Linked DNA regions of Sus scrofa. The protein of the gene in region 1 purifies or fractionates together with the protein of each later gene. This does not show direct contact. Links are inferred from orthologs where the notes say so. Each region holds a gene or a part of one and is shown in the gene's direction. Other genes may lie near its edges.

Region 1 (14,991 bases):
TTTCCGTTACATGAAGATCCTACCCGTTTTTTACCCGTCCTCCTATTGATGGACCTTTAGGTTGTTTCCAGCTCGTGGCCGTTGCTCTGTGCACATCCTCCCCCGCGTCGTCTGCGTGGACCCTGCCTGCCTTTCTCTCGTGCCCGTAGGAGGGAATTACCTGTCCTCGGGGTCCACGCACATCCAGCCTCGGTGGACCCAGCTCCTTTCCCAAAGTGGCCACACCCATCACGCGCCCCACACCGGCTGCCAGGCGGCAGGTTGAACTGGTTCGCCCATGAGGACGCCCCTGCCGGTGCTGTCGTGGACACCGTGCCCCCATGTCTCCATGCAGGTCAGGAGAGGGTGGTGATTGCCGACGACCTCCCGCACCCCTTCGGCCTGACCCAGTACAGCGATTACATCTACTGGACAGACTGGAACCTGCACAGCATCGAGCGGGCCGACAAGACCAGTGGCCGGAACCGCACCCTGATCCAGGGCCACCTGGACTTCGTGATGGACATCCTGGTGTTCCACTCCTCCCGCCAGGACGGCCTCAACGACTGCATGCACAACAACGGGCAGTGCGGGCAGCTGTGCCTGGCCGTCCCCAGCGGCCACCGCTGCAGCTGCGCCTCACACTACACCCTGGACCCCAGCAGCCGCAACTGCAGCCGTAAGTATCACACTCTCCCCCTGCACCACATTGGATCCGTCTGGCGGGTCAGGTAGAAAGACAGTTCTTGGCTGGAGATACCTGGGGGCACATGGACAGGTGGGCAGGTTGTGCACTGCACGAGTTGCAAGATGTTACCTGGAGGCTCAGGCTGGGTGGAAGACCTGTGGTTTCATCAAGACACAAGTAGATGGGCCAAGCCCTCAGCTGGCGCGTGCCCTGGGGGGCTCTTTGAATGTGAAAAAGAGCCTCTGGGGAGAGCCTCACAGAGCCAGGCATTGTTCCAAGGGCTTTTCATGGCACTTACTGGATCCCCAAGCCCACAGGGTCAGGAGTATCACTGTCCCGTTTCACAGACAAGGACCCCGGACACTGCGATGGCTACTGCCCAAGGCCACACAGCTCTTAAGACTTGAACCAAGTTTGAATCCAGGCAGGCTGGCTCCAGAGTCCCTGCCCTTGGCCCCTTGCCATGTGGCCTCCTGTCCGCTTGTGTGATCCTCTAAATTACGTAGGTTTTTTTGCTTTCATTTCAATAATAAGAAAAGCCAGGTCCAGAGAGCCCAAGAATGACTTTCCCACAGGCCTGCAGGGAGAACAGGTGCGTCCTGTTGGCAGGCTTTTCTCTGTGAGTCAGCAGAGAGCTGCTTATAACTCGGCCTCTGTGCAGCTCTGGACAGTTTATTTTATTTTATTTTTTTAGGGCCGCACCCTCGCCATATCGATATTCCCAAGCTAGGGGTCAAATCGGAGCTGCAGCTACTGGCCTACGCCACAGCAACACTGGATCTGAGCTGCACCTGAGACCTATACTGCAGCTCATGGCAACACTGTATCCTTAACCCACTGAGCAGGGCCAGGAATTGAACCCACATACCCATGGATACTAGTCGGGCTCTCAACCAGCTTGAGCCATGACAGGAACTCTGCAGTTGACAGTTTATAAAGCTCTTTGTGGTCCAGGGCCTTGCCTGAGCCTCTCACAGCCCAGGGCGTTAGGAGGGCTGGGCTTCCTCAGCCCAAGTTGTGTGGATGCGGGGCCCTGAGGCCCTGGACGGCCAAGGGGCTTGTTTGGGGCCCTGAGCTGGTATGAGACGAGCCTGGGGCCATGGCCTGGGACTCCCTTCTCCTGGGCTCCCTTTGGTCCTGTTGTCCCTCCCTCTGCCCAGGGAGATGTGACTCGGGCGCTGGCTCCCGTGGCTGGCAGGCCCAGGGCCACAGCTTGGATTCACGTGGCCCAGCTACGGCTCTGACTGTGACTGATGGCCCACACACATCCTGGGTGACACAGTTTCTGAACCCAGGCAGCTTTGCTCCTCATGGTCCTGAGGAATGTCCCCTCCTGGTGTCACGGTTCCCAACACACAGTTTTCAGCACTTCCCAGGAGCACGAGGAAGCACCTGCCGAATCCCAGAGTCACCCGAGCATCACACAGGCTTCACCGCTATGACCTCCTTCTGTCCTGAGGCTTGATCATCTGAAAAGAAATGGGGAGTTCCCACCGTGGCTCAGCAGTAATGCACCTGACCAGTATCCGTGAGAATGCACATTCGATCCCTGACCCCGCTCAGTGCATTAAGGATCCAGCATTGCCGCGAGCTGTGGTATAGGTTGCAGATGCAGCTCGGATCTGGCGTTGCTGTGGCTGTGTGCAGGCTGGTGGCTGCAGCTCCAACTTGACCCCTAGCCTGGGACCTTCCATATGCCATGGGTGCAACCCTAAAATAAATAAATAAATAAATAAATAAATGGATGGATGTCTAGTTTTAAAATAACACATGCAGAGTTTCCATCATGGCGCAGCAGAAATGAATCCGACCAGGAACCATGAGGTTGTGTGTTCGATCCCCGGCTTCACACAGTGGGTTAAGGATCCGGTGTTGCTGTGAGCTGTGGTGTAGGTCGCAAATGCGGCTCGGATCTGGCGTGGCTGTGGCTGTGACATAGGCCAGCAGCTGGAGCTCTGATTGGGCCCCTAGCCTGGGAACCTCCATATGCTGCGGCTGTGGCCCTAAAAAAAAATAGTAATAACAACACATGCACTTAGAGAATACTCAAGCAGGAGTTCCCTGGTGGCCTAGAGGGTTAATGATCCCATGTCACTGTTGTGGCTCTGATTACTACTGTGGCCTGGTAACTTCCACGTGCCGTGGGTGGGGCCAAAAATAAATGAAATAAAAAATAAGCATAGAGACTTGTGGAGCCACGTAAAATTCTCCACGTCCAGCCCTCCAAAACAGCCTTGTGTCTTTCCAGGCTCCCCCCACATCTAGTAGGTTGTTTTACCATAAGCTGCAACGCCGTCCTCCCCACCCACAGCCCACAGCCCCCGGTTGGCTCCCCGCCGCTGACTGCAGCCCGTCTGCTTGCCTCCCCCAGCGCCCACCACCTTCTTGCTGTTCAGCCAGAAATGCGCCGTCAGCCGGATGATCCCCGACGACCAGCACAGCCCGGACCTCATCCTGCCCCTGCACGGGCTGAGGAACGTCAGGGCCATTGACTACGACCCACTGGACAAGTTCATCTACTGGGTAGATGGGCGCCAGAACATCAAACGGGCCAAGGACGACGGGACCCAGGCAAGTGTGCCGACGGGGGGCCCGGGAGCCCGAGGAGCTCGTCCTGGCGGTGTCTAGGCTGCGGCCTCCTTTGCTTGGCAGAGGGAGTGCCAAGAGAGCCCAGGGCCGGGGGAGCCATGATTTGGGCTCCAATTATGTCATGACCAGATTTGAGAAAGCCTGCAGTTCTCTGTAGAAACTGGAATTTGCTGCTGTTTAAGTAGTGGTGGTGGGTGTCAGACCCCACGGGATTTTTTTTTCCTTTCCGCGGTGGTTTTGTGCAGGGATGCTTGGTATCAGCTATTCGCGACGCATCTTTTTATTTCAGGGGGTTGATGGCCAGTTCTGCTCTAATGCAGCATGCGTGTTCCTGAAAATCACCCGCGAGACGGGGGGGAACAGGGCTGGTGCACAGCGCTCAAAACTCCATCAGTGACACACGGGGGAAAAGAAGAGGAAGCTGGCAGTTCAGGGGCGCTGGCCTGCACGTGTTAAATAGTTCGGTACCTAATTTCTACAGCAGATACGGCGCAGGACTGGCCGCTTTTCTGTTAGGTTTTTGTGACCCACTCCAGGAAGGACATTGTCACTGCAGCTTCAGGGCACACCGGGTGTATCCACCCGTGTAGCAGGGAGCTGTGACCAGAATCCCTTTGATGTAGAATTTGAGGACACGCCTGGCTGTTCACACCAGTTTCTAAAGACTCCTTTGATAGGAGTTGCCGCTGTGGTGCAAAGGGATCCGTGGCATCTCTGCAGCGCCAGGATGCCGATTTGCTCCACGGCCCAGCACAGTGGGTTAAAGGATCTGGCATTGCTGCAGCCTAGGTCTGCTCAGATCCCTGGCCCTGGGACTCCATGTGCCCAAGGGACAGCCAAAAAAAAAAAAAAAAAAGGCCCTTTTTTGTTTTGGTGTTGTTTTTGCTTTGCAGAGCCACACCTGCAGCATGTGGCGGCTCCCAGGCTAGGGCTTAAATCAGAGCTGCAGCCGCCAGCCTACCCCGCAGCCACAGCAACTCGGGATCCGAGCTGCGTCTGCCACCTACACCACAGCTCACAGCAACTCCAGATCCTTAACCCACTGAATGAGGCCAGGGATTGAACCCACATCATCATGGATACCAGGCGGGTTCATCACCGCTGAGCCCCAGTGGGAGCTAAGAAAAGACTCCTTTTTACCAAAGCTCCACAACCTACCGGTCTCTTTGTCGACCAGTGGTAGCGTCACATCTCATGTCATCGTGGCAAAGTCTCGATGCTGTTACCACGGCGAGGGGCGGGGAAATTCTCCTGGGCGGAGACTTTCAGGTGGTTTTTGTGTCTGCAAAGTAGATGTTTCCCTTTCCCACCCCGAACCCAGGGCTGCCTGTGCGGCTGGACCTCACTTTTTTTTTTTTTCGGTCTTTTTGTCTTTCTAGGGCCACACCTGCGGCATATGGAGGTTCCCAGGCTAGGGGTCTAATAAGGGCTGTAGCCGCCGGCCTACACCACAGCCACAGCAACACCGGATCTGAGCCGCGTCTGTGACCTACACCACAGCTCACGACGAGGCTGGATCCTTAACCCAGTGAGCAAGGCCAGGGAGGGACCCCGAAACCTCGTGGTTCCCAGTCGGATTCGTTAACCACTGCGCCACGACGGGAACTCCCCGGGCCTCCCTTTTGACGAAAGACCTCATCCAGCGACAGTGGAAAGCGAACAGGCCGTCATCCTCTGCCGTCCCCGTGTCCTGGGTTGATGGTAAAATCCCTGCCGGCCCGGCAGCTGCGCTGTCACCTCTGTAGGAGCAGAGCCTGGTGGATTCCTTTCATCCCACTCTGAGCGCAGGTGACTGTCACTCTGAGGCCTTTGGAGGAACGGGATGTGTTAATTGCCGGACCGAGGCTTCCCTGCTGGGAACGTTGCTGGGCGCAAATTGCCTGAACGTCTGTCGTCTGTCTCTCGGAGAGGCGGAGAGGCGTTCTCCTGCGTCCTCTTATGGTGTCTGGCAAAGTCGGGGAGACTTTGAAGAAAAAGCCCCTTTAGGGGCACTTAATTTGGGAAACATTCATTTCCATCCCTGCCTCTCTTGTTAGAACTCCATCCTCTGGGGGCCTTAATTCTTTATGGGGGTCACCACCCGGCCCCCAGGCATGATGGTCTTGACTCTATAACTATTTGGCTGTTGTTTTTTTTACTTCATTGTTTATTCTTTTGTGGTGGAATATACATGACATAAAATTTACCATTTTAAACCTTTTTTTTTTTTTTTTTTGGCTACATCTGTGGCAGGCAGAAGTTTCCCCCCCAGCCAGGGATTGAACCTACGCCATGGCAGTGACCTGGGCCACTGCAGTGACAATGCCAGATCCTTAATCTGCTGAACCACAATGGGAACTTCCATTTTAAACGTTCTTTTTTTTTTTTTAAGGGGTGAACCTGCAGCATATGGAAGTTCCCACGCTGGGGGTCTAATGGGAGCTACAGCTGCCAACCTATGCCACAGCCACAGCAATGCCAGATCCGAGCCGTGTCTGTGAGCTCATGGCAGTACCGGATCCTTAACCCACTGAGCAAAGCCAGGGATCGAACCCACAACCTCACGGTTCCTAGTCGGCTACATTTCTGCTGCGCCACAACGAGAACTCCCATTTGAAACATTCTTTAAGCGAGCAGCTCAGTGACGTTAAGTCCATGCATATTGTGGCGCCACCATCAGCTCCATCCAGATGAAACTCTGTGCCCATTTAACACGAACTCTCAGAGTTCCCGCTGTGGTGCCACGGGATCGGCAGTGTCTCTGGAGCGCTGGGATGCAGGTTCAGTCTCCCGGCCTGGCATGGTGGGTTCCGGATCTGGCGTTGCCGCAACTGCAGCTTGAACCTGATCGCTGGTCCAGGAATTCCATCTGCCTCGGGGTGGCCTAAAAAAAGAAAAGAACAAAGCAAAACAAAAACCACTAACCCTCCCTTCCCCCCGCCACCCCCACACCGGTCCCTGGCACCTGCCGTCCTCCTTGCTGTTTCTGTGAGTTTGACAGCTCTACGTACGTCATTTAAGCAGAATCACACAGTATTTATCTTTTTGTAACTGGCTTATTTCACTTCCTCTAATGTCCTCAAGGTTCGTTGGCACCATAGCACGTGGCAGAATTTGCTTTTCCGAGCAAAGGAGGCCACAGCAGGCTCATGCGCTGAAGACCGCACCCTCTTTGGAGAGAGGAGGAGGTGGTTTTGAATCTGACAGCGCTAACGGCCTGAACGCAGCCAGAACACAGACTGGAATGTGAACCCACCTGCCGGGAGTCAAACCCAGCCTAGAACCAGATTGGGACAAACCCACGGTTTTTGTCTTTTCTTTTTAAGGCTGCACTTGCGGCACGTGGAGGTTTCCAGGCTAGGGGTCGAATCAGAAGCTGTAGCCATCAGCCTACACCACAGCCACGCCAGACCCAAGCCGCATATGTGACCTACACCACAGCTCACAGCAAGGCTGGATCCTTAACCCACTGAGCACGGCCAGGGATCGACCCCGTGTCCTCAGGGGTGCTAGTCAGATTCGTTCCCACTGTGCCACGATGGGACCTCCCAAACCCACAGTTTTAAATTAAAATCACTCACCCGGTGTCTGGACTCACTGAGGTTCAGGGTCTTTATGTCTTTGCGCAAAGGGATTCAGCGAGAGACAAAGCCACACGCAAGAAAGAGATTTATGAGGATGGGATGCTTGGACGAGAAGCAGGCGGGCAGGCGCGGAGGCGCTGCTGAATTTGCTTCCTCTTTAAGACCAACACATGGTGTCTGTGCAGCACGCGTTTTGCTGGTCCATCGACCTCAGCGGTGGCTTGGGCTGTGCCCTCCTTTGGGCTGGAGGGAGTCTGCAGCCGCAGGCTCGCCCACAGGCTAAGTGCCGCTTTGCACTGGCGAGGGGGAAGGGTGTTGAGCGTGCTGATGGAGAGGGTTCTGCCCCGGTTCGGCCCTGGCCGGAGGCCTGTTCCTTGTGTCAGAAGCGGGGTCTGGCTTCTCTGAAGCCGGCCCAGCACGTGCAGTCTGTCTCCCGGTTTCTCTGCCTGGCAGGGCGGGGGCGGTGTGTGGCTCCCCTGGGCACGTTTGTCAGCTGGTTGTTCTGATGACTCTGTGCCCAGCTGCCCCGTTACCCGCCCTGCAGTCCCGCGTCCGGCCAGGGCGAGCTGCAGTCTTGCTTTCCGCCCAGCCCGTTGGCCGCCCTGGGCTGTGGTCCGTGACTCCAGGGCTGTGCCTGCTTAGAGCTGACGTGTGGCTCCTTGGGGCTGCGCACGTCGGTACGTGCAGAGATGCGGGTGACACTTCCAGCTGCCCAGTGGGGCTGGACCAGAGGCCGCTGTGGGCGGGGGCTGGAGGGGGCTGTTCCTCTCCAGATGGGTCCAGGAGGCTGGGCCTGGGGAAGGGGGCTGCTCTTTGGCTGCCAGCCCCCTCTTACCCCCGGGAGATGCCTGGTATCACCTGCTGGAGCGAGGTGTAAGTGGAGAGTCTGCTCTGACCCCAGCCTCACCCTGAGAGGCTCCCTCCTCAGAGCAGGGAGCTCTTCACCAGGCCATTGGCGGCGGTGGCCCAGCAGCTTGGGAAGCCCTTGGCACCAGGTCAGGCCACGGGGACCCCAGGGGACCAGATCCACCGGGGAATCAGGCCCAGGCCTGTGAGGAGAGGAAGCTCTGGGCTCTCCTGCTGCATCAGCTCATGAAACAAGGTCCCCTGCGAAGGGGACTCTGCCAGTGGCTCCGGAAGCCGGGCTCATCCCTGCGAGGGCGGATGGCCAGGAGTCAGGCTGCGCCCCTGGGGGACCCGCAGGAAGGTGGCGAGGACTGGCCTGAGAGGGGCGCGCTGGCCCTGGGCTCCCAGGATGTGCTGTGGGCAGTCCCCACCCTCGCCAGGCCTCCTCCCCGTGGCCTCTCTCCCTCCGGGAAGAGACTTGTATGAAGTGGCCCTCTGTGTGGCACCTGCTGTTCTAAAGCCTCAGCTTAAGTAACAGTAACATTCGAGTCTTAATCCCAAAGCCTGAGTCCACGGAAGCAAGGAGAGGGAAGGTGTCTTGAGCTGGGGCCCATGAACCTGGGCTGACGGCTCAGCGGGCAGGCGGGCCCCTGTGCTGCAGGGACAGGCCGGTCTGGGTCGGGTGGCGGCCAGCCCGGCCCAGTGCAGTCCCTGATGGCTGAGCCTGGGGTCCGAGCTGACGGGCGGGAGCTGTCCTAGGAGTCAGTGTCGCTCCCACATGGCCGTTTGGGCAAGAGCCGGTTTGAAAGGACAGGTGCCCCGTGGGGGGCTGACCTTTGGTCTGAACGCGGCCATCGAGGGCTCTGCCCTCCCTGTGGTGTCCTTAGCTGGTGCTCGTGTCCCCCTGTTCTGCAGCCCTTCGTTCTGACCTCTCCGGGCCAAAGCCAGAGCCCAGACAGGCAGCCCCACGACCTCAGCATCGACGTCTACGGCCGGACACTGTTCTGGACGTGCGAGGCCACCAACACCATCAACGTCCACCGGCTGAACGGGGACGCCATGGGCGTGGTGCTCCGGGGGGACCGAGACAAGCCGAGGGCCATCGTCGTCAACGCCGAGCGAGGGTACGGGGCCGAAGGGGTGGGTGGGCACCGCAGGGTGGGGTCTGCACTGGCTGGGGGGGTGCCCGGCGTCCGTCCCGTGAGCGGCAGCCTCTCGAGCCAGGAGGGCTCTCCCACCCGACGTGCCCGTCCGCCAGGATCTCCCCCGGGTTCCCGCCACAGCAGCTGGGCGGGTCGAGGAAACACTGACTCTTCCCCAGTCTTGGCGGGGAGTCAGAGACCCCGGGATGGCCTTGACTGAAAGCCTCTGCAGGGGCCCGGGCTTTGCTGAGAAACACAGGAAGGTTGTAAGTCCTCGTTCATGGGTTTCGTACCATCCCATCAAACTTGAACCCTGTACAACCACCCCTTCCAGGCGGTGGTGGACTATTTACTTGCATATGTCCCACCGCGGGGAGGTCACTACCTAACTGGGAGCTCCTTCCTTCTCTGAAGCTCCCTGCTGCTCCCACCGTCAGCCCTCGGGTGCCCTGGTAGGCAAGAGAGCGCCCGGGACACTTTGATGGATGCCGAGGCTCCCAAAGGGGAAGACCAGGATGGGAGGGGACCCAAAGCCACATGACATGGGGTTCAGAAATAAAGCCAGTCACAGGAAGGTTTGGGGACAGGAGCAGGAGCACGGTGGCCACCTCAGGTACCCGCAGAGCTGACACTCAAGGCTGGAATCAGACCCGTCCAGGCACTGCATCAGCTCTACAGAGCCGAGTTCAAATCCTGGCCCCATCACTTACTGCCTGAGTGACCTCAGGCAGGTGACAAACCTCCCAGGGGCTCATTTTCCATGTGAAGACAGTGGTAGAGCCAGCCCCACAGCACACGAGGGCCCAGTCATTTAAGGGGGCTCTTCAGCAACCAAAGCATGGGAGCGAGGACTGGTGCCTGGGGCCGCCGCCACAAGTGACTGCAAACCGGGGATTTAAAACAGCAGGTGTTTGTTCCCTTGTGGTTCTGGGGACTGCAGTCAAGTGTGGGCGAGGCCGTGCTCCCACCTGAGTCTCCAAGGAGGAAGCTTCCTGCCCTCGGCTTCTGGGGCCCCAGCCGCTGCTTGGCCTGGGCTCGGGGCCGCATCCTCTGAGCCTCCGTCTTCACGTCAGCTTCTGTGTATGTGTGGCTGCTCCTCTCTCTCTCTCGAAGCCACTGTCACTGGTTGAGGGCCCCATCGTAACCTGGGGTGGGGCCTCACCTTGTCCTAAATCACACCTGCACAGACCTGGTTTCCACATAAGGTCGCGTTCTGAGGCTCCGGGTAGATGCAAGGTTGTGTGGGACACTCTGCAACCCCTCCAGGGTGTGACTTTTTCAGCTCCGGGGCCCTGAGAGGCTGGGGCCATGTGATGGGTGACGGAGCCCCGCTGGGTGCCCCCAGGGCTGGGGGCAGGTCTGTCCGGGGCTTTGCGCGGAGCTCCGTCCGCAGCAGCATCCCTCACCCGCCCCTCCCGCAGGTACCTGTACTTCACCAACATGCAGGACCGGGCGGCCAAGATCGAGCGTGCCGCCCTGGATGGCACCGAGCGTGAGGTCCTCTTCACCACGGGCCTCATCCGCCCCGTGGCCCTCGTGGTGGACAACGCGCTGGGCAAGCTCTTTTGGGTGGACGCAGACCTGAAACGCATCGAGAGCTGCGACCTGTCAGGTACACGCCCTGGGGCCTCCCCGGGGATCCGTCCCTCGGCAGCCACCAGGTCTGACCCACCAGGGCCCTCCTGGTCGTCAGTCACAGGGTGGCAGCGGGGCCCGTGCTGGGGCTTTACCACGCATAGTCCCCCCCGTGCGTTCCAGGTCCCAGATGATCCCCTGGGCTCAGAGAGGCTGAGCCAGCTGCCCAGGGCCCCACAGCGTGGGGTAGAGGAGGAATCCTACCCTCTGCCTCTCGTGCCTGTTCTCGCAGCTGCTCTGGTGTGGAGGCCCCTGGGCTGGAGAGGCGTGAGAGTCAGTGCTTGGAGGGGCTTTTCCTCCAGAAGTTGGGGGGGAGGGGGCTGAGGGGAGGGAAGCACCCTGTTTTCAGGGGGCTAGTGACTGCGCCCCAGATTTGGGTTATGGCCCTGGCCCCGAGGCCAGCCCAGGTGGGAGCAGGAACATCCGAGGAGGGACCTCACATCTGCCTGATTCCAGGGACTGTGTCCCAGCCCCAGCCCCCCCCGTCCTCCCAAGTCAAGGGAGGGCCGAGCTCTCGGAGTCAGCTGCCACTCAGGGCACGCCGTCCCTCCTGCAGGGGCCAACCGCCTGACCCTGGAGGACGCCAACATCGTGCAGCCCGTGGGCCTGACTGTGCTGGGCAAGCACCTCTACTGGATTGACCGCCAGCAGCAGATGATCGAGCGCGTGGACAAGACCACGGGGGACTCGCGGACACGGGTGCAGGGCCGTGTCGCCCACCTGACCGGCATTCACGCCGTGGAGGACATCAGCGTGGAGGAGTTCTGTACGTGGGGGGCGGCAGCAGGCGGCGGTGTGTGCAGGGTCCCCGGGGAGGGTGGGCGCCTGCACGGAGCACATCGCCCCCCGACCTGGTCCCCTTGGAGAAAGACAGGAGGTTGAGCCAACGCGAGAGTTGTAGGATTGAGGCCCTGTTTGCGTTCTGGCTTTCAGCCAGGTCCACTCTCAGTTCCCAGAGGCCACCCTCAGGCTCTCACCGTGTGCTCCCCGCCCTCAGCAACAGAGCAAACCCCTCTGGCTTCCTTTTCTACCACCTGGAACCCGCCCTGCGTTCCAAGGGCCAGAGATTAGATTCCGGCCAGTTTTCAGATTAGCTTCCCTTTGACTGATTAGTAACCTTAATTACATCTCTCAACGCCTCTTGCCAAGGAAGGTAACAAAACCCCAGACACGATAGCTCATCCCAGCTGGGGAGTAGGGTGGGAACTTCGGGGGTCATTGTAGGAGTCTGCACTGTGCCCACGTGCCTGGGGGAGGGTGGGTGTCCCCCAGGGACCTCTGGTCCCTCCACCCCCTCTGTATACGGCCATACATGTGTTTAGAGGCAGGTGGGCATACATGTATGTCTGTCCCTCTGTCTTCTTGCTTTTCTCTCCTCGTTCCGTAAATACACCTGGGCTGCCAGCTGGGTGAACAGGGCCTTTGCTGTCCTTGTCCTGTGATACCCACTGTCTGGCCGCCTTCAAGGCCCGGGGGGCTGCCCCCCATCCCAGCCCAGCCCGTCACCTTGGCCTCCCACCTCGGCCACACCCCCGAGGTTTTGACTGTTCTGCACGCCAGGCCCTGTGCCCAGTATATTATGACGTTATGTGTGTTATTTCACAATAATTCTTTTACGGTTGAGGGAGGCAGGGCTCAGAAAGGGTGTGACGCCACCCTGTCACCCAGCCAGTAAACACGATGGGGCTTGGATGTGAGGCCAGAGCCCATGTTTTAGGCACTGGGCTTTTTTCTGGGCTCCCTGCTCAGAACTGGAGTCAGGACCTCTAATGCTGTGAGTCTGTCACCCCTGGGTTGACTGCTAGAGGGTGCTTTCTGCCCCGTGGGTGCTCAGCTGGGTCCCAGGTAAGAGAAATCACTGGACGACCAGCTTCCAGGGAACCGGGGCCCGCTGTGCCTGTGGGTTAGACGCCTGCGTTTACCTGCCCCTCACACCATCCTCAGCAAAGTCCTGGATTCCTGTGTGTCCCTGGCAGATGGTCAAAACAGAGATGCTGGTCCCACAAATGCTGAGACCACTGCCTGCTGGTGTCGCTGAAAGCCAGGCAGCTGCGCAGAAGCTCCTTGGAACTGAGGGGGCAGGGGGGCCAGGAGACATTCAGGGAGCAGGTTTGAGGCTGGAAACCGGGGATGTGTCCCCGAGCACGAATGTGCAGGGACTAGGGTGACAGAGAGAGGCTCTGTTTGGGGCAAGGGCGGGAAAGCCTTAGGATGTGTGTCACCCGGCCTGCTGCCCTGCAAGATCCCACAACTGGACTCTGGACCAGGGTGGACAGTCGGTGTGTGTGTCACCCTGGCTGCCTTTGCGAGGCAGCTGGCTGACTTGTGGAGTCGTGACAGGTGGCCTGGCTCGTGAAGCCAAAGTTACTTTCCGATTCTTTATGGAAAATGTTTGCTGGCCCTACTCTAAACGATGACTCTGCCATTTTCCATTTATTTATTCATTTATTTATTTTGGCTTTTCAAGGCCGTAACTGCAGCATATGGAGGTTCCCAGGCTAGGGGTCTAATCTGAGCTGCAGCTGCCTGCCTACGCCACAGCCACAGCAACACCGGACCCTTAACCCACTGAGCAAGGCCCGGGATTGAGCCTGCATCCTCCTGCATACGAGTTGGGTTCCTTACCACTGAGCCACAGTGGGAACTCCAGATTCCTCCATTTAAAACACCTAGTTGTCAAGGTTGAGGGGGAGTTTGACAACACTGATTTGTCTCTGGGGGTGGGAGCGAGGGGCAGAGTCATTTCCTCCCACCTGAGGGAGGTCAGCCCCCCTCCCAGGCTCCTAAACATTGTCCAGGTGTTGGGCACGTGAGGTTTAATTGAATTAAAATATTCAAGTTCCCAGGGGTTCAGCATCCTTGTTATCTTAGTTCTTGTGTGTAGTAGTCTTCTGCAGTTCCCGTAACAAATCACCACAAACGGGGTGACTTAAAGTAACACGAACATGTTCTCTTACTGTCTGGAGTTCAAGGTCCAGGTGTCTGCAGACTGGGCTCCCTCTGGAGGTTGGGGTGGCTGCGGGGGGGGGGTTCTTTGCGCCTCCCACTTCCTGTGGTTACAGGTGTTCCCTGTGTCTGCATCATTTCAATATCTGCCTCTGTCTGCACATGGCCTTCTCCTCTGTCTCCACTTCTTGTGTCATCTCTCTTTTTTTTTTTTTTTTTTGGCCATACACAAGGCATGCAGAAGCTCCCTGGCCAGGGACCAAACCCATGCCAGAGCAGGGACCCACGCCACAGCAGTGGCAATGCAGGATCCTTAACTCCTGTCATCTCCTATAAGGACATGTGTCAGTGAATTTAGAGCCCACCCAGGAGTTCCCATCATAGCTCAGTGGTTAACGAATCTCACTAGGAACCACGATGTTGTGGGTTCGATCCCTGGGCTTGCTCAGTGGGCTAAGGATCCAGCGTTGCCATGAGCTGTGGTGTAGGTTGCAGACGCGGCTCGGATCCCACATTGCTGTGGCTCTGGCATAGGCTGGTGGCTACAGCTCCGATTAGACCCCTAGCCTGGGAACCTCCATGTGCAGTGGGAGCGGCCCTAAAATAGACAAAAAAAAAAAAAAAAATCCAGAGCCCACCCGGATAATTCAGAAAAGACCCCTCTCAAGATCCTTAGCATCGTTATATTTGCAAAGACTCTTTCCAAATGAGGTCTCATGCGCAGATTCCAGGCAGTAGGATGTGGACATAGCTTTGGAGACCACTACACCGCAAGAGACAGACACCTAGGTAGGCAGCATAGAGTGACAGTTGTGGGCTCAGTGGAAGCTGGCACAGATGAGCTGGGCTGTGACGCTGGGAAAGTTCTCTAAGTGCTTTTGGCCTCCATTTCTTCATCTGCAAAAGGCAGTGTCAGTAGAAACAGGCTACATGGGCTGCCCTGAAAATAAAGTGGGAGGATCTCCTACACTCTTACAGGAGTACCAGTTCTTATGAGTTCTTGCCTGGCCCCCATCCCCTCCATCCTTTGGGCCATAGTCCTGAGATAGGAACCCAACCCTCTCCCTTTTTTCTCTCCACAGCAGCCCACCCTTGTGCCCGGGACAATGGCGGCTGTTCCCACATCTGCATCGCCAAGGGTGATGGAACCCCACGGTGCTCATGCCCAGTCCACCTTGTGCTCCTGCAGAACCTATTGACTTGTGGTGGTAGGTGTGACCTCAGCACTTTCTTTTGGGACACTGAGCAGGGACCTGATTCCTCTGCCTGTGAGGTTGCTGCCAGGCACCTTTTAGATATATATTCCTGGTAGCATACAGTTTCCAAATCAGACTGTCTCTTTGTTTGTCCTCTTTCCTAATATAGGTATATCAGGGCTATGAATTTCCCTCTAAGCACTCCTTTTGCTGCATCCCACAAATTTGGATAAATTATATTTTCATTTTGCTTTTTTTGTCTTTTTGCCATTTCTTGAGCCATTTCCACAGCATATGGAGATTCTCAGGCTAGGGCTCTATTCAGAGCTGTAGCCACCGGCCTACGCCAGAGCCACAGCAACGTGGGATCCAAGTCGAGTCTGCAACCTACACCATAGCTCATGGCA
Region 2 (15,651 bases), on another chromosome or scaffold:
GAGGCCACCGGGGAAGATGGGACTTTACCTGCTGCTCCCTCAGGAGCCCAGCCCCTCCGGCAGACACCATGGCTGATGGGGAAATGGCACTGGGCTGGGGGCCTGCAGGGCCCTTCCTCTGTGACACGTCTGAAACATCTGACCTGGACCACGGCCAGCCTGGGCACCGTCCTGCGGGCTGGGCCCATTCACGGAGGGTCGCACATAGACCTCTGAGGCCGGCAGGTTCAGGCCAGGACCCTCACCTTGCCAAGGAGGAGACTCCGGTTCAGGCAGGCGCTCAAGTGTCCGGGGAGGCAGGAGCTGGGTGCATGATCCCAAGGCCCCCAAGCCGGGGGTGCTGGGTTGGGGGTGGGGAGGCTGCTTGCCCCTCTTCTTCCCAGGTCCCCGTGGCTGGCTGGCGCCATCTTGGACATCCCCGAGCCTGCTTGACCGTCTCCAACTCCTAGACACACCCCTGGGGTCAGAATCCTCCAGAAAGGCGGTGCAGAAAGGTGTCCCTGCTATGCCCCTCAGCCCGGAGTGACAGGACCCCAGCAGGACATGGGGTGAAACCCACAGTGGGCGTGTGTGGAGGGCACCCTGGGAGGGAGTGTGCCAGCCTTGGGCTTGACCCTTGACTCCTGGGGGCCAGCAGGGATGTGAGGGTGGTGTCAGGGCTGCCGGGTGAGCGGTCTGTGCGGGAACCATGGGACCCACCTGGCATCAGCTCGGTGGGCCTGGGGTGCTGGGCTCTAGGTGAGCAGGAACAAGCGGGTGACCACGGTGGCTGTTTTTGCGAGGGCTGCCACAGCCCAGCCATGGCTGAATGCTTCGCTGTGCATTTCTCTGGGCGGGACCCCCTTGTCTGGAGAAGCCAGGGCAGGAGGTGTCTCCTAGGAGCAGGGCACCCAGGACTGGACAACAGAGACCAACAGGGTCAGAGCATGTGTCACCACTGAGCTAACCTTGGAACCAGGCGTCCAAGGCAAGCCCTGCTCCTGTCCCCCCATCTTCCCTGCTCGGCACTGGGAGCAGGTCATTCCTGCGGCATCTGTCTGCGGTCGCTTCGGTTGCAGGTTGGCGTGAGAACTCCAGAGAGCAAGAGGGATGCAGAAGGCCAGCCTGGAGGACACGTCTGTCCCACAGGGGTGAAGGGAGAGAAGCCAGAGGCAGGCGGAAAGAGGCGTCCTGGGGGCCCAGGGAGGGCTCAGCCTGGAGTGGCCCCAGAGCCAGCAGCCCAGGAAGCTCAAGGCAGCACCTTCTTGCTGGCCCTGGGGCTGCCTCTGGGCGCCCATGGCAGTCACACCCTGCCTGACACTGCCCAGCGGGTCAGCTCTGTCCTGGGGCCCAGTGTCCTCACCATGCTGCCTGTCTCCCCCTGACGGATTCATTCATAGTGACAGCTGATGGAAAAATGGTCCCTGCTATAGAGCTTCCTAGCTTTTCTAAAATCAGAGCGGGAAGATCCTTGTAGGCCTTTCCCGATGCATGAGGAGACTGGAGCCCGCCCTAGTCGCCCTCCAGCAATAACTGGTACTCATGCCCTGGGGTAACTCCTGCCTTTATTCGCACATTCTCTTGGTCCACCTGCGCAGCTCCGAGGTTCTCCACATGGCGGGATGTCTCCACATCCTTGTTGAGCTCAGGAAGGGGACACACCTGGCTCTCCCTGGTGAGCTTAGAACTGATGGAGAAAGGACACTCGGGGACAAGAGATGGCATCCACAGGGCTGGGTTTTCCACCAGGAAGGTGCCTGACCGCTGAGGCTGGGCTGTGTCTCAGAAGGGAAGTCCAGTTGCCCTCGTCACCACTGGATGAGCTGAGCCCTCCCTCCCACTCCGGGCCCTCACCTGCCCGCTCACTGCCCATTCCCGCCTGTGACCCGGCAGAGGGGCAGGAAACACAGAGCCCAGAAGGGGCTCAGCCGAGGCTTGGGACTCCCCGGAGGTCAGTGCGGATCTGCTCGTCGGTATCTCACCTCGCCATGCAGTTGCACACGCGGCGCCATGCCAGGCGCCCCTCAGCAGCCTCTGCCTGCTCCTTGGGTGGCCTTTTTTTTGTTGTTCTTTTTGTCTTTTTAGGGCTGCACCGCGGTATATGGAGGTTCCCAGGCTAGGTGTCCAATTGGAACTGTGGCTGCCAGGCTACGCCAGAGCCACAGCAATGCGGGATCCAAGCCTCGTCTGTGACCTACCTGACAGCTCATGGCGACGCCGGATCCTTAACCTGCTGAGCGAGGCCAGGGGGTCACACCTGCATCCTCCCGGATGCTAGTCGGGTTCCTTAACTGCTGAGCCACAACTGGAACTCCCCAGGGTGGTCTTGAGCATGACTCCTTACCAGTGGTCTCCCTGGCCAAGTGGGCAAACATGTGGAAGGATCGGGGGTCCTGGTATCGCAAATATACCTTTCGTGTCCAAGTTGAAGAAAATAATTTCCTTTTTGCTCTTAAGATTTTTCTTTTTTTTTTTTTTTTGGTCTTTTTGCCATTTCTTGGGCCGCTCCCACGGCATATGGAGGTTCCCAGGCTAGGGGTCTAATTGGAGCTGTAGCTGCCAGCCTACACCAGAGTCACAGCCACGCAGGATCCGAGCCATGTCTGCAACCTACACCACAGCTCACAGCAACGCCGGATCGTTAACCCACTGAGCAAGGCCAGGGATCGAACCCGCAACCTCATGGTTCCTAATCGGATTCGTTAACCACTGTGCCACGACGGGAACTCCCTTAAGATTTTTCATTAGTTTCTGGAAAGCCTAAATAAATGCCATCTATAGTTTATCATAGCCAAGCTGCTTGCAGCTGCCTCTGGTCCCCCCAGGGAGGGTGCATTTTGGGGAGGGGTCTTTTTTCCAGGGCCATACACATGACATACGGAGGTTCTCAGGCTAGGGGGTTGAATCGGAGTTGTAGCTGCTGGCCTACACCACAGCCGCAGCAATGCTGGATCCGAGCTACATCTGTGACCTACACCACAGCTCACAGCAACACCGGATCCTTAACCCACTGAACAAGGCCAGGGATGGGACCTGCATCCTCATGGATGCAAGTCAGATGGGGTTCCACTGCACCATGACGGGAACTCCCCGAGGGTGCATCTTCCATGTCCCTCTACGGACGACAAGAGGGCTCCACCTCGGACCATGCGGTTCACAAACGAGGTGCCCACAGCTCCATATCTGCTCTCAGCTCTGGGTGGCTGATGTGGTCCCCCTGCCAGGTCTCTCCTGCTTCAGTGCCGGCCCCCAAGGTTGCCCTCCCTGCTTCCCTCTCTTCAGAGACGACCTGAGCCTCCTCCTCTATCTGCCCCGACCCCTACACTGCCCCAGGCTCCCATGTGAGCCCACAGCCACGAACCACTGCAGCGGGTTTTCTGACTCCCTCCTGTCTCCGCAGGGTGAGGGCCCCGAGGAACCGGAGGCGCGGGGGCCCTGTTCTGGTCCCAGGGCCTGGGGACACCTGCCGCCATGGGCCAGAAGGAGGATGGATGTGGACACAACCCTGGGAGTCTGGTCTGGTCACAACAGCACCTCTGCAAAACCAAGGCAAGCATTGGGGTCCCACGTCCAGGAGTGGGGTGACAGCCTGAGGACCAACGTCCAGAAGGTCCTGCTGTCTGTCTGGCCTACCCAGGACTCCCTGCACCCCACAAAGATTCTGCTGTGCCATGAAGGCCACCCACTCTGTCTCTAAGGTTCTGAGGCTGAAGAGGGTGGGGGAGGCTCTGCAAAGGCATCTCCTGTACCAGCGTCCGGAGGCCTAGGGCCACCCCAGCTGGATGTGGGTGAGAGTGACACCGGCCACCAGGACCCCAGTGGGTCCACGTGGGTTCAGCTGTTCAGCTCCTCTGATGTGCTGTCCCCACCCACAGCCCCCGCACTGCCCAGCCTGCCCCGGGCATGGTGACGGCCCCAGGAGGTGGCCTAGCCCCTGGCAGGTTAGGAATGCTTCTCTGGTGGCCCTCATTGCTCCCCTTTCCTATGAAACACAGTGCGTGAGAGGATGTGCTGAGTCCTGGGAAGCTGGATTCGGGGAGCTGGGACGCCTCTGTATTGCTCACCCAGGCAGGTGCCACCAGTGGGCAGCTGAGTGGGAGGTGGGCTGGCAGCTAGGGTGCCACAAGCCTGGACTTCTTTCCTTGCCTGGGAGCTGTGAAGATGAGGAGGATGGGCAGAGAGGGTGAGCAAGGCCCAGGAGAAAATGTGGTGGCATCAGAGCTGACCTGGGGAATTGGGGGTGGGGTGGGCGTAATGAAAGCATAAAGATGGACGAGTGACCGCATGCACACAGGGAAGGGCTCTGAAGGCTGGGAGAGCCCGGGGAGCAGCCAGATGAGGGCTGCTGGGGATGCTGTGGGACTCATGAGAGGTTGGGGAGCCCCGGGCCAGGAGGAGGTGAGAAGGTCCCTGTGTGGCCTGAGCTGTGGCTTGTGGGTAGAATGGGGGTACAGCCAGGCACTGTGGCCCACTGGAGCATTTCTCAAGGCACCAGGTCTGACGGGGCACTGCTGGAGGACAAAGTCCTGGGTGATCATGGGCCGGGGGTGACGGAAGCAATTCCTTAGGGGCAGTAATCACTTTCTGGTGCCCACATCCTTCCCTCTGGGAGCGGCTGGTGGTGGGTGGGCAACAGGGGAGTTGGTCAGCCGGGCTTGCAGATCAAGCAAGGGCTGCTATGGAAACAGCAAGGGGGATAAGGGTGGTGGGTGTAGGGTGGGACACCGAGAAGCCGTTACTCTCAGGCTGGCCTGGGCCAGTGTGGCCCGTAGGCAGTGGTGGGAAGTGGAGCCTCTGTCTAGACCCTGGATGGCACCTGGGAGAAATCCAGGAAGGATGGGCCAGCTGGGGTGAGGCCTCAGCCAGTCCCGCCCACAGCTCTTTGGAAGTTGGGGCTCCTCCCCAAGTGACAACCTGTATTTCTTGGATGCCTACTGGCCCAGGCTGGGTCCCACCTGCCTGCGGACTTAGGAAGAGCAGAGTCCAAGCCCACCTTGGTAGGGTCCTGGCTGGCTCGGGGGCAGCCTGCCTGGAGAAGGGGGAGAAAGACGCTGGATATCACCAAAGGCTTAGCACTCGGTCACCCTGGCTGTGCCGTCCAACTGCCCAACTCCTGGGCACTTGCTTCTTTCTGTGCCCTGGCCAGACTAGTGGCAGTCCTCCTGCCAGGGTCTTCCCATTCAGGGAGCTACGGGGGCCTGTGGGCGCCGACCTCTGGAGCCCTGGGCCAGTGGACACCATGTGGGCGGCTAGAAAGGGCCGCGACCCGGCGTGCGCCTGCGGGGCCGACTGAGGGGGCCCGTTCGTCCCTACGCTCGGTACCCGAGCCACTTCCCCAGGAGTCCAGCGCAGTTTCCGGCGCACCTTCACGAGTCACCCTCGACGCAGCCCTGACCCCGCCCCCACCAAGGCCCCGCCCCCACCGACACATTAGAGCCCGCCCACTTGCTCGGGCTCTGCGTCACGCCTCCGGTCCGCCTAGACGCCTTTGGCCCCGCCTCAGCTTTCGAGGCTCCGCCCCCACGTTCGAAGCCTGACCCGCTACGGTCTTGCCTTCCCTGCGCTCCGGCTCGGTCTCGCGCTCTCGGCCCGGCTCCCACTCTCTTGGCCCCGCCCCACGTCCTCGGCCGCGCCCACACGCCCGGGCGTCGCCTTTATCAGAGGCTCCGTCCCACGCGTTCTTCGCCCTGTCACGGCGCAAGGGCTGGGCTTTGCGTTCCCGACGCAGACCCTAGGCCCCGCCCTCGCTCCCAGCCCGCCCCCGCGCTCTTGGCCCGCCCCGCGCCCCGGGCCCCGCCCCCGCACTTCCGGGCGGCGCCGGCGGGGGCGCTCCGGCCTGGGCTTCGGCGCTCTGGGCTCGGGCTCCCGGCTTGGGGAAGGGATCGCGGTCGCCCCCGCCGCCGCCGCAGCCGCCTCCACCGCGGGCACCACCGCCGCTACACCGGCCAGAGTCGGGCCGGAGCCGCGACCCCGCGGAGCAGGCCGGTGGGAGTTGGCGAGCGGCCTCGGCGGCGCCCCTGCGGCCTGCCCCGCGCCCGCCTCCGGGCCGACGCGCCGCCGCCGCCGCGATGGGGGCCGCCCGGGGCCGCGCCTCCGCCCCGTCCCGCCGGCCGCGCCGCCGCTGAGCGCATGGGCCGTACCGCGCCGTGCCGCTCCGGGAGCCGGGCCCGGGGCCCCGCCGCCGCCGCCGCCTTCGCCTTCGCCGCCGCCGCCGCCGCCGCCGCGCGGGTGAGTAGTGCGGCCGGGCGCGCATTCCTGAGGGGCGCGGGCCTGTGCGGCGCCCATTGTAGGCCGCGCAGGCCGGGCCTGGCGCGGGACCCGGAAGAGGGGCTCTGAGGCTGTGCGGGCCCCGAGGGTGTGCGGGTTTGAGTGTGTGAGGAAGGGGTGTGGGTCCGCTCTGAGGAGGGCAGGTGTGTCCAAAAAGGGATGCTGGCGAGTGATGGAGGAGGCGAGGGCCGTTGACACTGGCGTCTCCGGGTGGGCCAGCGTTTGGGATTTAGTTCAGAAGGGGCAGCCACTTGCTCTAGTCGGGGGCGAGCAAGACTCAGTTCTGAGAAGGGCTGCGGGGTCCTGCTCTAAGAGGCTGGGGTCTGCAGCTGCTGTTTGATGGGGTGGTGCCAGGTGCGTGCAGTGGTCCCTGGGCCTGGGGCATGGGGTGGGGTGTGGGCGGGATGCAGAGGGACCCCGGACAGAAGCAGGACCCTGGGTGCAGTGTCCCTCCCCTCTTCTAACAAAAAGTAGAGGTGAGTGAGGCTGAGACCCAAAGAGGGCGCTCCCTCTGAGGCAGCGGTGCCAGAGGCTGGGTCTAGGCTGTGGTTTGGCCCGCGTGAGTGGCTTTACTCTTTCCGCGGCTGCCTTGCCCCCCAAACTCTCTGTTGGGTGAACATCTTAGACTCTCCGTCAACCCTGCGTTTTGGAATTCCATCCCTCTTGAAACCAGAGCTGTGAAACTTAGAGCTTAGCATCCAGGACAGCAGAGAAGAATAAATACACCAATCCTCGGGGGTGTTTTTTTCTCAGCCCGTCTCTAGATAACCGATAAAGAGTTATTGTGCCTCTCCGCCCCTCCTTTTTGTCGTCCTTGTGTTCTCTGCTTCCTCAGGAAGAATTTCAGGCGTTCTGGGACCGAGCCCTGTTTTGGAGAACACACGCAGGCTCAGCCTGGCCCCCTAAGATAGCGGTCGGTATCTGAGTTCAATTTTAGGAGCTGCTATTCCAGGATGAGGACGGGAAGGCGTATGCCAAATGCATTGTTTCTGTTGGGTTTTCAGCAGGTGTTGAAGTTTCTTGGATTTCTAGTTTCAGAAAAGCTTTTCGGGTTACACAGGTCATTGAGGATTTAGCTGGTTGGCGGGATGACATGTGAAACGGCGGGCCCGGCCTTTCAAGAGTTTAATTAATGGGCCGACGGGAACGTGTCAGAGTCGCACTGCTGTTTCTGCGCGCCTCGAACCTAAGAAGCTCCTGCTGCGGCTCAGCGGGTTAATGATCTGGCTTGTCTCTGGCGCTGCTGGTTCAATCCCAGGCTCGTTGCAGTGCGTGAAGGAGTGGGCGTTGGCGAAGCTCTGGCATGGGTCACAGATGCTGCACGGGTTCCATCCGTGGCTGGTAATGTCTGTGTGCCGTGGGTGTGGCTGAAAAAAGAAAAAACAATTCAGATGGTATATTTGAGTGAAATGAATGCGTACGTACACACCTATAGCACCGAGGCAGCTGCCGTGGTGCCCAGGCATGCCTGGCAGGGACCGAAGGAGCGTTTCGGTGAGGTGTCAGGGTTTCCGATTCCCTTTGTGGCTTCCCTTTATTGATGGTGGCTACAGACCGTGGGCCAGAGTCAGTGTCGGTGGGGACTGGACTCTGACCTCAATGGATGTAAATGCCTCACGGGTGGTACACACACCCGACGTGCGCTGCAGTTGTCCGTGGGAACCCAGACATTTCGGGAATGGGCTCGTGTTTCAGCACCAGCAGGAACTGGGAGCGAGGTTCTCGTGCTTCCAAGGCCCCGAAGTTCTCCTGTCCGTTGACAGCGGAACATAGGTATGGATTTTAAGATGTTCCTTCTAGGCTAGGAAAAACTAGTTTAAGTGACATGGGGGGCTTGTTCACACACGAAGTAAAAGTTAGTCCGTTAAAGCAGTGCATTTTCATGACAGAGGACTAAGTCTTTCACTGGCTGCTCTTTCTGTAGCACAGTCCTTCAGTGCCTGCGAAGAGCCAACATTCAGCGTCTGTAGGTGGTGTTTTCCTTAATGGCGATGAAGTAAGTATTTATTGGTGCCCATTACTTGCAGGACCTTGTGTTAGATGCTGTGAGTCCTGCAGAAAATGTTTAACTCGGGCTGCCACAGACCACTCCTGTGGCAGAAAGGGGCACTTTAAGAGAAAGTGACGGTGACTCGGAATTAGCCTCCCAGTCAGACACAGTGATGTGTTTTTCTCAAGGCTGGCGGATCCCTGCAAGGGTGAGGCTCAGGGACCAGGGGTGGGTCCTCTTTCCTGAGCTGGTGTCCTTGACGGGAGAACCCTGGATGGCCGCGAGCAGCTGTGGAGCTGGGACACCAAAGGTGCTCAGTTCGTGTTGATGGCACTCAGACAAAAAGCACCTTGGCAGTTTCAGTGGTCCGTGAGCAGCAGGGTGTCATAGCCCATGGGCTTTGACCTTAAGAAGCAGGCTGTTCCTGCTGAGCCTGAGCCCTTCAGCCTGCCAGTGGTTTTCATAGAAAGTCATGAGCTGCAGAGCCGTCCATAACCGTGACCCATCCTCCACCTCTGGGTGCTTCCTCTAGCCCCCCACAGCTGCCGGCCCTCAAAGTGTGTGCAATGTGCGCATGCAGGCATGGGGGCAGGTGGCGGGGTGGCGGGGAGATCCACGCCTGCTGTTTGTATGCTGGCAGGGCTTTATTTCCGTCCCTCTTTGTTCTCGCAGGATGACGCTTGTAGCTAGTGGCATGGGACATTGATCCCTTAGCGCCAGAGGCGTGCCTAGAGCTGTAAAGCTTTCCAGACATTGTTTTCACGTGGTACAAGACCGGTGACAAAGATTGAAAATTTGGGAGTTCCCGCTGTGGCGCAGCACGTTAAGGATCCGGGCTGTCTCTGCGGTGGTGCGAGGTCGCTCCCCGGCCCTGTGCAGTGGGTTCAGTGTCTCGTGTGGCTGCAGCTGGGGCGCAGGTCATAGCTGGGGGCGCGGGGTCAATGCCTGGCCCGGGACCTTCCACAGGCTGTGGGTGTGGCCTCTGGAAAAAAAACAGAGTGAGAATTTAAGCCGAGTCTCTGGCTTTGAGCGGGAGGGCGTCGTTGCGAGGCTTGTCTGAGAAAACCTCTGTGGTCGTGTCTCCATGGCCCCACTGTTCCTAATCCTTGTCCTCTTGATGGTTTCAACAGGCCAGAGTGATTCCCTGGGAGCCGTAAGTACTGATGTATTAGGGTGCAGCGCGCGTTGCGCCTTGACGCACAGCGCCCCAAAATGAATACCCAGGAGCAGGGCTTCCCCTTGGACCTCGGCGCAAGTTTCACCGAAGATGCCCCCCGGCCCCCAGTGCCTGGTGAGGAGGGGGAGCTGGTGTCCACAGACCCCAGGCCCGTCAGCCACAGCTTCTGCTCTGGGAAAGGTGCCGGGATTAAAGGGGAGACTTCGACAGCCACGCCGAGGCGCTCGGACCTGGACCTGGGGTACGAGCCCGAGGGCAGCGCTTCGCCCACCCCGCCGTACTTGAAGTGGGCCGAGTCGCTGCACTCCCTGCTCGACGATCAGGACGGGATAAACCTGTTTCGGACTTTCCTGAGGCAGGAGCACTGCGCTGACCTGCTGGACTTCTGGTTCGCCTGCAGCGGCTTCAGGAAGCTGGAGCCCTGCGACTCGAACGAGGAGAAGAGGCTGAAGCTGGCCCGAGCAATTTACCGCAGGTACATCCTCGACAGCGGTGGCGTCGTGTCCAGGCAGACCAAGCCGGCCACCAAGAGCTTCATCAAGGACTGCATCGCCAAGCAGCAGATCGACCCTGCCATGTTCGACCAGGCGCAGACCGAGGTGCAGTCGAGCATGGAGGCCAACACCTACCCCGCCTTCCTCAAGTCCGACATCTACGCTGAGTGCACGCGCGCGGGCGCCGAGAGCCCCAAGGCCTGTGGCGAGCCGGGCTCCGCGGCAGGCACGGGCAAGGGGGTCCCCGGATACCTGCCCACGCTGAACGAGGACGAGGAGTGGACGTGCGACCGAGGCGCGGACGAGGAGGCCGCCGGAGACCCCGCACCGCCCGGCAGGCTCACGCAGACGCTGCTGCTGCTGGAAACCGCCGCCCCGCGGGCCTGCTCGAGTAGACGGTACAGCGAAGGCAGAGAGTTCAGGTGAGTCCCCCGCGAGGCCGCCGTCCCACGCTCGCCTCCGGGCACTGGAGGACTGGCCTGGGAAAGGGCTGCTCCCTCGGCTCTGGCCCCAGAGCGGCGGGACGCCTGGTGCCGGGGTGCGAGGTCACACGGTGTGCAGAGCCTGGCAGGTGGAGGGTGCTTTTGGCGAGAACAGCCCCAACCCGAGTGGCTTCGGAAGGCGCTGGGAATGTGGGCTGCCTTGGACGCCACGTGGCGTCCAACCCTTAGCAGTCCCGTGTGTGTCCCCTCGCCCAGAGGGGTGTTGACCTGGTGGCCGCGGTCCTTGGGGCTCAGAGAGCGGAGGCCTGGACGTTGAAAGGCGTCGGTGCGTGGAGAATTCCGGGTCGTCCCCCGAGCTTCTTCCTAGAGGTCGGGAAGCGCTGCTGGCGAGGCTGCTGTGCCGCAGGCGGTCCGAGCCCCGTGGGAACTTCCTGTGGCTGCGCTTGTGGGTCTAGGACCACCCCTTTCTCCTGCCCAGACCGGGACTCGGAAGCTGTGGTCATGGTCGTGGCCTGTGGGCACAAAGGCAGCTGGGAGGCCAGGAGCGGTGCCTTTGGCAAGTCGCTGGGACTTTGGAAACCTGTTTCTTGGTTCTCTTTCTTGTGGTTCCTGGCAGTTTGTTTGGTCTCTGGCCGGAGCTTGTGGCCGCCGGTCGCAGCCCTTCCCCTCCCTTCCCCGTCCTGGCCTGCGAGGTGCTGAAAGGCTGGCATTTAATAAAGCGACCCCATGATGCAGGCGAGTCTCCCGGCGCTGGTCTCCCGGACCCCGTCTTCAATCTTCTCGTGGCAGAAAAAGTGGTTACTTGCTAACAAACACAGGGCTAGATGTGCTGAGGGTTGAAATGTTCTCTAAGGGGTGGGAAGCAGACACACTGTCCTAGGTGACTTTCGTTTGCCTTTTTCTCACTGTCTCTCTCTTTTCTTTTTTGGCCTATGAGGTTCTCGGGCCAGGGATCAGATCTGAGCCGTAGCTGCAACCTCAGTTGCCACGGCTGCGGCAGTGCCGGATCCTTAACCCGCTGTGCTGGGCTGGGGGTCGAACCTGCCTCCCAGTGCTCCCAGGATGCAGCTACAGCGGGACCTCCTCATGGTCTTTAAACCTTACGTGGCGCAGTGGTTAACGAATCCGACTAGGAACCATGAGGTTGCGGGTTCGGTCCCTGCCCCTGCTCAGTGGGTTAACGATCCGGCGTTGCCGTGAGCTGTGGTGTAGGTTGCAGATGCGGCTCGGATCCCGAGTTGCTGTGGCTCTGGCGTAGACCGGTGGCTGCAGCTCCGATTCGACCCCTAGCCTGGGAACCTCCATATGCCGCGGGAGCGGCCCAAGAAATAGCAAAAAGACAAAAAAAAAAAAAAAAAAAAAAAAAAAAAGAAAATCTAAATCTAACTTGAGAGTGTTCATATTTGGTCAGGACAGTGTTCTTTTTGTTTGTTCGAAGGACCACACCTGCAGCCTATGGAGGGTCCCAGGCTAGGCGTCGAATCGGAGGTGCAGCTGCCGGCCTACCCCACAGCCCACGGCAACGCCGGATCTTTAACCCACTGAGTGAGGCCTGGGATTGAACCCCCATCCTCATGGATGGATACTAGTCGGGTTTGCTACACTGAGCCACAACGAGAACTCCTCGACTTGATCTTGTGTGGGGCAGGTTTAGGTCACCAGCAGAGTTGAGAGGAAGGTGCCGCAGTTTCCCGCACACTCGTGTCCCCACGTGTGCATGGCTCCCCCGTCACCGGCCTCCCGCAGCAGAGTGGTCATTTGTCTCAGATGCCAAAGCTATGGCATGACCACCCGCCGTCCGTGGTTGCACTCCAGGCCCCTCAGCGGTGGGGTCCGTCCTGTGGGTTTGGACCAAGGTGTGCGACGTGTGTCTGTCGCAGAACTGCATGGGGTGGTCTCGCTCTGCCTCCGCGTCCTTTCCAGCCCCCGCCCCTGCCCCTGTCAGCCCCTGAAGCTTTTGCCATCTTCATGGCTTTGCCTTTTCCGGAAAGCCATGTAGTTGGAGCTGTGCAACGTGCAGCCTGTTCACGCTGGCTTTTCTCTCTCTCTCTCTCTCTTTTTTTTTTTTTTTTTTGTCTTTTTGCCTTTTCTTGGGCCGCTCCCGCGGCATATGGAGGTTCCCAGGCTAAGGGTCGAATCGGAGCTGTAGCCGCCGGCCTACACCAGAGCCACAGCAACTCGGGATCTGAACCATGTCTGCGACCTACACCACAGCCCACGGCAACGCCTGGTCCTTCATCCACTGAGCGAGGCCAGGGATCAAACCCGCAGCCTCATGGTTCCTAGTCGGATGCGTTAACCACTGCGCCATAACGAGAACTCCTAGCTTTTCTCTCTTAATACGCTTTTGCGGTTCCTCGGTGTCTTTTTGTGGCTCCGAAGCTCATTTCTTTTTGGTGCTGAACCGCGTGGGTGGTCTGGCTTATTTACCCACTCGCCTGCTGGAGGACATCCTGATTGCCGTGTTTGACAGTTGTGACGAAAGCTGCAGTAATCACCCGTGTGCAGGGGTTGGTGTGGGCCTGAGTTTTCGTCCCCTTTGGGTGAATGTCAGGGGCCTGAGCGCTGGATTTCATGGTGAGAGCAAATTGAGTTTTATCAGAAACTGTCCCCTTTCCGAGTGTTTTTGCCTCTGCCTTCCTGTGGCCAGCTTTGTGCCAGGTGGGCTCCCTTGCCTTGGAGGGTGGCTCCGGGCTCTGGGCGCCCTTGTTTTGTAAACAGACGCTTCCCACTGAAGGAAGCACAGAAGGGGGCCCCGCGTCTGCCCTGGTGGTCAGGGATGGCTTGTGCCAGTGTCCTGCCCGTTCCAGCATCGTGACCGCGCCAGGGCTGGGCCTGCTGCTGGGCTCACCCCAAACAGGGCGCCCAGAGGAGGAGGTGCCCAGACGGGGAGCCTCACGGGGGGCGGGGTGCAGGTCTGAGCAGGCCCCTCCCCCCGGGGAGCGCGAGTGTGCACGCACATGCATGCACATCTGTTTGTCCTGTCGCTGACTTGAGAAACAGCAGGTGAGCCTTTTACTTAGGTCTTTGTCAAAACCGAAAGAGTAGAGGTGGCCCTGGGTTTTTCTGCATTTGTCCTGCTCACCTGGGTCCTTTTGAGCCCTCGGGCTGAAGCATCCCCAGACTCGTTGCTGCTCCCCTGGTCTCTCTGCGAAGGGTCTCCCTGGTCCTTGTTGCCTGTTGTTGGTGGGACTGTGAGCATGTGTGACTTTGGCTGATTCACACCCACCATTTAAATTCGGTCTTTTTTTTTTTTTTTTTTTTTTTGTCTTTTTAGGGCCAAACCCATGGCATATGGAGGTTCCCAGACTAGGGGTCCAATCACAGCTGAAGCTGCCGGCCTACACCACAGCCACAGCAACTCGGGATCCGAGCTGCGTCTGCAATCTATACCGCAGTAAATGGTAACGCCTCATCCTTAACCCACGGAGCGAGGCGAGGGATCGAACCCGCATCCTCATGGGTACTAATCAGGTTTGTCACCCCCGGGCCACAGTGAGAGCTCCCCACCACTTAAATTTGGTGTCAGTTGGCAAAGGGCCCTCTGATGATGCGGCTCCCCGTGCCCGGCGGCTCACGCCATTGGTCAGTGGGCGGGGGCGGGGTGGGGCGGGGGCGGGGCTGCTCGGGCAGGCTGGGCGGGCCAGAGTCTGTGCGCTGAGACTGGAGCGGTGGATCCTAGGCGCTCTCCATTGGTCAGCAGGGCCGCCAATCTATGCGTGGGCGGGGACGGGGGCGCGCAGGCCCAGCCCTGAGAGGTTTAGCTCTGCGGTCGCCACGGCAGTTCCGGTGCCCCTAGGCCACAAGGCGTGGAGACTCGAGGGCAGGAGCCAGGGCCGGTCGGAGGCATCGGGGTCCTGGACGGCGCAGCCGAGCTGCAGGTCGGCTCTTTTGGCTGTGTTTTTACTTAATGATTTGGCGTTGGGGCCCAGGCTCCGCCTCAAAAGCTTGGCCTGGCCCGACCTGCCTGCTGGGTGCCGAGCTGGGCCAGGTTGGTGCAGCCTGTACTCTTCAGCAGCCCTTCTAGCACCTGCACTCAGCGATTGTCCATTTGTTTGTTGTTCTGGCTGTGCCTGCGCCATGTAGAAATTCCCGGGGCAGGGATGGAGCCTTCAGCACAGTAGTGTCCTGGGCCACAGCAGCAATGATGCTGGATCCTTACTTAACCCACTGCACCACAAGGGAACTCTGCCACTAGTTTTATTTTATTTTTCTTTTTACGACTGCACCTGCAGCACGTAGAAGTTCCCAGTCTAGGGTCACATTGCAACTGCCGATGCTGGCACCTCGGGATCCTTAACCCACAGAGCGAGGCTAGGGATCGAACCTGCATCTTCGTGGATGCCAGTCAGGTTGTCAACCTGCTGAGCCATGGCGGGATCTCTAGGACACTGATCTTGTTCAGCCAGCCTGTTGGACTTGACCTTCAACGAATTCTCCTCACTGTTGAATTTCTAGGTCACCTGCCGTGGCAGGTGGCTCCTTTTAAAAGTGTGGCTCTTGTGCTGCAGCCTTCCCCTCCATTTTCCTGTTACCGTGCTGGTAATTACTGGGAGTGTGGGCACGAAGCTCTGAGAGAGCGCGTGGCCTTGCTGCCATCCCTCGTGCTCTTCCAGATGTGCGACTTCCCACCTGATTGAATCCCTTTAACCAGCAGACGAGCCCCAGGCAGGCGGAGACAGTTGCGGACGAGGCGTAGTTCGCAGCTGTGGGCTTCTCAGGGCGGGAGTCTGCGGGTCCTTTCCTTCCCTCCACTGGCTGGAAGGGTAGACCTTGGAGCTTGGTGGGGTCCGCCTTCTCCTGGTTGTGTGCTGGTGGGAAAGTGGCTGCATCTCCCTGAGCTTTTCTGTGAAGTGGGGAGGGTGAAGGAAGGGCCCGCCAGGTGTAGCGGCTCCCTGGGGTAACCCAGGGCTCAGCCCCGCGGGCGCCTGCGCACAGCCGGTGCTCGGGGTCACAGCCCCGCGTTTCTCTGTCACCAAGGCCAGGGGGGCCAGGGCTTGGTAAATTCACAGCTGTTGCGAGTGACCCATTCACACGTTAATAGCTCATTCCCCCCCCTCCCCGCCCCAAGCCTGCTCCTCCTGCAGTCATCATCACCTCCTGAAGTGGCACCACCATCTGCCAGGTCAACACAGACTACCTGACTCCCCCTCCACATGAGCTTTGAATTCCTCTTCTCGCTGTCCAGGCTCTGCCTGGCTCTTGCCACCTCCTCCTGGACCTTCTGGCCGAGTCTCTGCCTTCCTCTCTTCTCTCCACCGCGCCCAAAGGGATCTTTTCTTTTCTTTGTGTGTGTGTGTG

What was found.
Region 2: the proteins of LRP5 (region 1) and AXIN1 purify together in Homo sapiens (affinity purification with western blotting; 3 studies listed by BioGRID). This does not show direct contact. The link is inferred for Sus scrofa from reciprocal best matches to the Homo sapiens genes LRP5 and AXIN1.

What each region holds. Positions count from the first base shown.
Region 1 is NC_010444.4:4,551,283-4,566,273, reverse strand, and holds part of LRP5 (low-density lipoprotein receptor-related protein 5), read left to right. Parts: intron 1-334; coding exon 335-658; intron 659-3,038; coding exon 3,039-3,238; intron 3,239-8,580; coding exon 8,581-8,789; intron 8,790-10,228; coding exon 10,229-10,419; intron 10,420-10,998; coding exon 10,999-11,208; intron 11,209-14,470; coding exon 14,471-14,596; intron 14,597-14,991. UniProt on the Homo sapiens protein: Acts as a coreceptor with members of the frizzled family of seven-transmembrane spanning receptors to transduce signal by Wnt proteins.
Region 2 is NC_010445.4:41,338,751-41,354,401, forward strand, and holds the start of AXIN1 (axin-1), read left to right. Parts: upstream 1-6,157; 5' UTR 6,158-6,207; intron 6,208-6,647; exon of another isoform or gene 6,648-9,366; 5' UTR 9,367-9,448; coding exon 9,449-10,329; intron 10,330-15,651. UniProt on the Homo sapiens protein: Component of the beta-catenin destruction complex required for regulating CTNNB1 levels through phosphorylation and ubiquitination, and modulating Wnt-signaling.